Danio rerio: one gene and its partner. The protein of the gene in region 1 interacts with the protein of each later gene in a pairwise test. Links are inferred from orthologs where the notes say so. Each region holds a gene or a part of one and is shown on either strand. Other genes may lie near its edges.

The links.
Region 2: the proteins of enkd1 (region 1) and si:dkey-174m14.3 interact in binary tests that used the Homo sapiens proteins (3 or more experiments, as listed by UniProt). The two-hybrid records come from large-scale screens. The link is inferred for Danio rerio from reciprocal best matches to the Homo sapiens genes ENKD1 and BEGAIN.

Annotation. Positions count from the first base shown.
Region 1 is NC_133183.1:3,674,746-3,678,569, forward strand, and holds part of enkd1 (enkurin domain-containing protein 1), read left to right. Parts: intron 1-1,491; coding exon 1,492-1,623; intron 1,624-1,783; coding exon 1,784-1,926; intron 1,927-3,824. UniProt on the Homo sapiens protein: Microtubule-binding protein which regulates microtubule organization and stability. Promotes the stability of astral microtubules and facilitates the proper orientation of the mitotic spindle.
Region 2 is NC_133195.1:9,518,516-9,522,972, forward strand, and holds the start of si:dkey-174m14.3 (uncharacterized protein LOC563117), read left to right. Parts: upstream 1-1,618; 5' UTR 1,619-1,676; coding exon of another isoform or gene 1,677-1,691; coding exon 1,692-1,705; intron 1,706-4,457. UniProt on the Homo sapiens protein: May sustain the structure of the postsynaptic density (PSD).

The DNA of each region.
Region 1 (3,824 bases):
GGTGATGTTTTATATATGCATGCTTCAAACAAATGTCTTCAGCCTTTAAACTCCATAGTGCGCTAAGGTTTGTTACAGGCTGTCAAAGACTTACTCATCATCGTGAATTGTACGCTAAAGCTGAGTGGCCTTCTCTGTGTGTAAGAAGGTACACCCACTGGATGACTCTGGTCTACAAGGCTCTTCTGGGACTGGTGCCTTCATACCTATGTTCCCTTCTCCATAAGTCTAAAAGAAAGCATGCCCTACGCTCAAGTGAATCTTATAATTTGATTGTTCCCCGGGTTCGAACTGAAATAGGAAAGCGAGCCTTTAGTCATGCCGCCCACTCATCCTAAAATACTCTTCAGTCTGAAGTAAAGATATCTGAGCTCATCCCAATGACATCGTTTCACTCTATTCTTTTTAACAAACAACAACAGTCCATTTCTCAATGCATGTGTTTTTAATATACTGAAATGTGGTAAAGCTGGAAAACTGAACTGTATTTTTATATTATATTAATTTTCTATTTATTATTAATATTATTAAATTTTTTTCTTTTTTTTATATAAATCATGTGATGCAGACCTCTTGGCCAGGTCACCCTTGTAAATGAGATCTTGATCTCAATGGGTTTTTATCTGGTTAAATAAAGAAACATGTATAGGGACTTTATAATGAATTAGAAGTTTAAAGGAGACCTATTATGTAAAACTTACTTTCATAAGAGGTTTAAACACAGTTGTGTGTCAGCAGTGTATGAATATAAGCAGCTTCTAATGGTAAAAATTTATTCATTTTATTGTTTATAATCCCTCTCGATAAAAACAGAAACACTTTGATTGACATTTTCTCTTTGTACATGTCATCAGAGTGGGAAAGCCCCGCCCACTAGTGACCATCTCTTCCTCATTAGCATAGGATATAAGTCTTAAATCTGCCACTATAATGACACACAAGCATTTGCATTTGCACAAGCATTATGTGTGTGTGAGTGTTTTTGTGCATGTGTATGTGTTTAAATGTGTGTGTGTGTGAATGTGTTTTTATATGTGTTTGTTTTTGTATGTGTGTGTGGTGAGGGCACATCTGTGATAATGTTCTTTTGTTTAAGTGTGTGTGTTTGAGTGTGTGTATGTGTGTGTGTGCAAATGTATGATTGACTGTGTTTTTACATGTGATCATGTTTGTTTTTGTGTGTGTGTGTGTGTGTGTGTGTGTGTGTGTGTGTGAGCGCTTTGGGTTTTAGATAAGCGCGTTATAAATAAAATGTATTATTATTATTATTATTATAGTAATACCAGTACAAATTGACTTTGTGGGGACATTTTTGGTCCCTATATGAATAAAACGGCTCATAGATGCAGATTGTTTCCAATGAGGGCTGGTTTAAGGGCAGGAGGAGAGAATATACAGTCTGTACAGTAGAAACATCCTTATGTCTATGAAAATAAGATAGCTGTAAGAGTGTGTGTGTGTGTGTGTGTGTGTGTGTGTTTGTGTGTGCAGGAAACAAGCCCCTTAAAGAAGCCTGAATATCAGAACTTCCTGAAGGCTCATTCAGTGTGTGGAGCCGGGGGTCGACCGGTGCTGCGGCGCTCAGACAGTGGACCGACCGCTGCTGGAGACTCAGACTCTGAGGTCAGAAACACACACACACACACACACACACACACACACACACACACACACACACACACACACTAACTCAGCACACACTTACACTCACAAACACTTCATTCACACTCCTGCAGACAGTGTTGCGTAACAGAGGTCTGTGTGTGTGTTGATGTGTGTCCAGATGCATGTGAGAGGACACACAGTGGACTTTGTGAGTCATAACGCTCGAGCTGCGGCGAAGACCAGCATGAGGAGATCTCAGTCCTTACAGAACCTGCAGGACAAAACACCAGCCTGCGCCGTCAAGGGCAAAGTGCCGCCATAGTGAGTGAAGTTACACAATATTGGAATAACTGACATTACTATACTTTGTTTTTCTCAGATACATGGTTGAAGTCAGTATTATTCGCCCCCCTGTATATTTCATTCACCAATTTCTGTTTTACTGAGAAGATGTTTTCAGCACATTTCTAATTATAATAGTTTTAACTCATTTCTTATAACTGATTTCTTTTGTCTTTGCCATGATGACAGCACATAATACTTGACTTGATATTCTTCAAGATGCTAGTATTCAGCTTAAAGTGACATTTAAAGGCTTAACTAGGTTAATTAGGGTAAAGTTGGGTTAATTAGGCAAGTCAATAGCTGTTTCCATCCAAAAATGCGAATGAACTTTATGTGCAAAACTGGATTATCACATTAAAGTCATGCGAATAAAGCAGCATTACCTTCTAACGAGTCAAAGCAAACAAAACACTTCCTGATTAACTGGCGCCAAGTATCAACAGTAAAAACGGAATTTGCTGCGATAGGAGAAGCTGCATCAATCTGTTCTTTCAAGAGTTCACACTTAGCTGATGATTGATTATAAGCAAGTTTGGCATGCTGTCCCGGGAGAGAGCCCTGAGCTCAAAAGGTCCTTGAGCCCTGGGCTCCCTCCCGTTTGCAGGGCGAGAGGGGAGCCTTGAGCTCAGGTAGATCTCGACAACTCCTTCCTTGATAAGAGCTGATGACTGAAATGAATGCTATGAAGAGAATTGCTGCAGGATGAGAGATTGACTTTAGTGCTAAATTTAGGGTGCTTTCACACCTGCCTTATTTAGTTTGATTGAATCGCACTAGAGTTCGTTTTCCCTTTTGGTGCGGTTCGTTTGGGCAGGTGAGAATGCAGCAATCGTACTCGAGTGCGCACCAAAAGCGGACCAAATAAGCGTACTGAGACCTGCTTGAAGAGGTGTTCTTGGTATGCTTTCAAATGAACCCTGGAGCGGTTCATTTGTGGTGAGAATTTGATTCGTACTAAAACAGGTCCAACCGCAAAAAGTACTGCGCCTTTCGGACTAAGTCAGCTGCCGTAGGCCGATGCGCTGTGCATTATGGGATATAGAGGAAAAATATTTGTTGACAGCGCTTTACCAAGAAAGAGAGAGAGAGGGAAAACATTACCTGATGGATCGTTGGTAATATTTCCGCAAGATGAGCATGTCGCAGTTTAGCTAAATTAATTCACGCCTCCTCCTGAAGTGACGTGCGATGCATTAAAACACTGTTTTCCAGCCGCGGCCGCGCTTCATTCTTAAAATGTATAGTTTGTCTAAAGCAGGGATACAATCAGTCAGCGCAGTCGTCCCTCCATTAAAAAGCTACATTTTGTGTCTGCTGGTTTTGTTTACTTGTGGGAGTTCATTGGCTTTTTCCCGCACATGAATTCTGACCAATCGATACGCAGTTTAGGAAATATGTTCAACAACATCTGGCCAATGAGAAAGTGGATTTTATCAGATGACTGCATTTTGGTTTGTTCCAACTGGTTCGGACCAAAGCCAGCAGCGTGGTGTGAAAACACACAGAAAACGACGGCAGAAAATGCAACAATGTATCATTTATTGCCCTTGGTGCAGACCAAATGAAGCGAACTACAGATGTGCAAGCACCCTTAGATTGATCAATTCACTTGTTGTGCATGTTTTTAGAATGTGGGAGGAAACCGGAGAACCCGGGGAAAATCCACACGAGCACAGGAAGAGCATGCAAACTACGCACATAAACGACCGCTGCCCTTTTAAAAGACTACAACCGGTGACATTCTTGCTGTGAGGCAACAGTGCTAACCACTGGGCCACCGTGCCACCCTATAAAGGGAAAGGTGAAGAGGTAGGGGTGAAAGGGGGGTTCGTCAAACCGAAGGTGGCTGTAGTGAAAAACCCTGGCTCTTTATA
Region 2 (4,457 bases), on another chromosome or scaffold:
AGTCTGTAAAATAACAGTGTTTCTTTGTAAAACTCTTAGTGTGTAACTATTAAACGGATTTGATCATAATAATCTAGGAAAAGTCTGTAAAATAACAGTGTTTCTTTGTAAAACTCTTAGTGTGTAACTATTAAACGGATTTGATCATAATAATTTAGGAAAAGTCTGTAAAATAACAGTGTTTCTTTGTAAAACTCTTAGTGTGTAACTATTGAACGGATTTGATCATAATAATCTAGGAAAAGTCTGTAAAATAACAGTGTTTCTTTGTAAAACTCTTAGTGTGTAACTTTATTTAACGGATTTGATCATAATAATCTAGGAAAAGTCTGTAAAATAACAGTGTTTCTTTATAAAACTCTTAGTGTGTAACTTTATTGAACGGATTTGATCATAATAATCTAGGAAAAGTCTGTAAAATAACAGTGTTTCTTTGCAAAACTCTTAGTGTGTAACTTTATTGAACGGATTTGATTGCAATAATTAAGGAAAAGTCTGTAAAATAACAGTGTTTCTTTGCAAAACTCTTAGTGTGTAACTTTATTGAACGGATTTGATTGTAATAATTAAGGAAAAGTCTGTAAAATAACAGTCTTTTTCTGTAAACATTTTATTGAAAATATCTGTAGATTTATTATTTGTTGCACTTTATTTCAACAAAGAAATTTTACCGTAATTTTATGGGTTTTTTTTTGGCAGCCTAAGCTGCCAGTCATTCAACCTTTTTTTTAAAGATTTTTTATTTTTTTTTACAATGCACAACAGCCTCTGGTGGATTTGTGAAACAAAAACTACTGTATAAAAACTTACCTTCTGGGACATATTTGCCGCTCTCCAGAAATGTATATAGCTGTACGTTTTCAGAATGAGCCTGGGTTGGAAGCATTTGTACTTATTTTTAACAGTGAAATGACATTTAAAGTTTCCAAACTGACCATAATGTACAAACATAACACATTGGCTTCATGATTTTTACACATTGGCCCATGCCATATCGAATAAGCTTGAGCGTATTATACTACGCTAAATCACCTGCATCCTGTCTGGTGTTGAATTAATAGGACTGCTGGAACGGCCCCTGGTCACTGCTGCACACTAAATCTGAATGAGAATGTGAATTCCTCTGACATAATCTGACTCTTGCATTATTCATGGAGTGGCAGAAAGACAGACCGAGTAGGAAAGAAAGCTGTGGCACGCAGTGGATCTGCGAAACCCGAGTGCCTCCCCATCCCTTTCATCAACAGATGAGCCCACCTGTTTCCCTCCTCAACCTCTCTCTCGCTCTCACACCATCTCCCTCTCTCTCTTTCTCACCCTCGGTCGTTCTCTCCACTCTGTTGTCTGTTTTCACATCCTGTGGATCTTTTCGATGAGTGAGTTTCTTTCGTGGAGGAGAGAAAGAAGAAGAGGGGGCGGCGTGTATGATGTTGTGTATCTGCATTCTGGCTGCGACTGTGCTTTCCATTCGCACTTAATCTGTCAAGATTTCTCCCCTCCTCGCACATGAGAACGATGCAGAAGTGTACTGGCACTGTTGGGTAGAGAGAGAGAGAGAGAGGGAGAGGGAGAGAGAGAGAGAGCTGTATGTGCTTCAGACTGCGCAGTGATGTCTTGGCAGCTTCAGGAACCAGGCGCATGTTCGTTTCAGTAATCTCCTCTTCTTCCTTTTCCAGGCTTCGGACGAGGAGATGCAGACCATAAGGTAAGGAGCTTTCTTCGTTTTCTGTCCCTCCACCCCTGTCTCTTTTTGCCTTCAATTCGTGATGCTCTTTAAAGCGGGACTGCAGCAGGAAAAACCCTCGTGATGATGTAGGAAGCAGGAGTTGCCCGCGTTCTCCAACACAATTAGGGGGGTTTATATGATCTCCTGCATCTCCAAGAAGGGTCAGTTGTTTTGATTGCGAAAGTGTAATAGTTAAAATGTGTGTTCTAGATTATATGCAAACTGATACATATTGAGTGTTTTCCCATTGAAGACCTGTAGATAAGCCTGATAATCCCCAAAGTGAATGCCACCTTTCTATTGGCTGAGCATGTGTTGTCATCAGATCGTTTTTTTTTTTTTTTTTCCGCCTTATGGCAAAATCCGAGATGGGGCTTTGGAAATTATTTATGAATGTGCTAAGTGTTCACTGCCGCTGCTGTAGATTATATTATAGAACCCATGTGGGGGGGGAAAAAAGGTATGACTCAAGCTCTGTGCGGGAGGCTGGACGGATTTATTGGGGGTTTCCCCTCCTTCACATGCATTATTAATAGATTACAGGGCAAAACAGAAAGGTTTCAAGTCATGTTGATGGATTTCAGGCTGCCTTGGCTTCATGTTGCTGAGAGAAATTACGGATAAATGTGTTTTCAAGGACTCTGTGATAAAAAGGACTTTTATAGTGGATTTTTGTGACTGACTGAAACAGTGGAACATTTATTATTACCTATAACATTTTCTGTTCAAACATGCGTGTCTAGTCTATTTATGATTAAAAACAAATAGACATAATATCTGTTATTGACTTAATCATACATGTGTAATAGGGATGTCCCAAGCGGGTTTTTTTGCCCTTGAGTCATTTGATTTAGAGTATCTACCGATTCTGAAACCCGATCCGATACCTTAATAATACATAAAGAGAGAATAAAGAAGAGCAAGGAAACAAATGCAGGATGTTCCTTATGTTTTAATTTAATTTACCATTTTTTAACATGCAACAACTCTGTTTGTTTGTCGAGTTAAATGTAGTCTTTTTCTTTCCACCTCTTGCAATCTCAAGTTTACATATTTCAGTTTTCTATGGCAATGTTGTCGTCATCAACTTTTTAATACTTCCAGACTGCAGAGGTCTAACTCTACTGCATTATTTTACTGGGGATTTTTTCCGCTGTAAAATTCGTAAAATAACAGGCGTTAAAGACAGATATTTACTGTAAAATAACACATTAAATGATAATTTCTGTAATTTTTTTAATGTCTGTTATTTTACAGTAAATTTCTGTAATTTAATGTCTGTTATTTTGTGGTAAATTTCTGTAATTTAATGTGTGTTATTTTATGGTAAATTTCTGTAGTTTAGTGTCTGTTATTTTACAGTAAGTTTCTGTAATTTAATGTTTGTTATTTTATGGTTACTATCTGTAATTTAATGTCTGTTATTTTACGATAAACTTCTGTAATTTAATGTAATTTAATGTCTGTTATTTTACGATAAACTTCTGTAATTTAATGTCTGTTATTTTACAGTAAATTTCAGTAATGTAACGTTCGTTATTTTACGGTAAATTTATGTAATTTTTAAATGTCTTTTATTTTACAGTAAATTTCTGTGATTTTACATCCATTACTTTATGGCAAATTTATGTAATTTAATGTCTATTATTTACGATAAATTTATGTAAATTAATATCTGTTATTTTACTGTAAGTTTCTGTATTTTAACGTTTGTTATTTTATGGTAAATTTCTGTAATTTAACATCCGTTATTTTATGATTAATTTCTGTAATTTCACGGGTGTTATATTACGGTAAATTTCTGTAATTAACGTTTGTTATTTTATGGTAAATTTCTGTAATTTTGCAACCATTATTTTACAGTAAATTTTTGTAATAGCACAACCGTTATTTTACTTTTTTCCAGCATTCCAGCTTTTGGAAAAAAAAACTTAATCGGGAGGTAACGTCCACTTCAAATCAAGTCTGAAACTGCATGTTCCTATCACGTGATCGCATCTGGATATCCCTAATGTGGAACTATATTAAATGCAGTATGTAGTGTGAAATCTACTAGATGTTTTGAATTTAATAATGCTCCAAAAATAAATCTGTCATTTTAATTGATTATATGTGAAGGGATTGGTGGATACTTTTTTAATAATAGTGCCATAGCTGCTGCATTCCCAGCAAGCATTTTTTTGTTTTTAAAAGATGTTTAATTAATGTCTAATAGACGTCTAAACACAGTAGTTTTGGCTAAAACAAGGCTAAATTTGGGATGTCAGGCAAAATTAAATAGATGTCTAGGAATAGGCCAAAACTAGACTAGTCATCAAATAAACAGAAATTAATGACTACACATATAAAGTCTGTCTAATCTGTCTATTTGACGACTTGCAGATGTCTGTTAGATTTTCACCGACGGCCCAAGTTTAGCCTTGTTTTAGCCAAGCTGTCTATGTTTAGAAGTCTATAAGACATATTTTAAACACAAAATTATTTGCTGGGTTGTGTGGTATAAGCATATGCAAACTACAGTCTGAATCGTTAGGTCAGCAGTGATGCTGCAAAGGTGATGCGTGAGGTGCTGATGAACAAAATATGCAAACATAAGGTGAAACACCAATTATGCTTCCAATTTATTGCAAACTGCCAGCGTGGCCTTGACCTCTCGGTGCAGCAAATCTGATGTAACATGCTGAAATCACGTCTTCTTGGTGCTTTTCTCTTCTTCCGCACAGAAAAATGC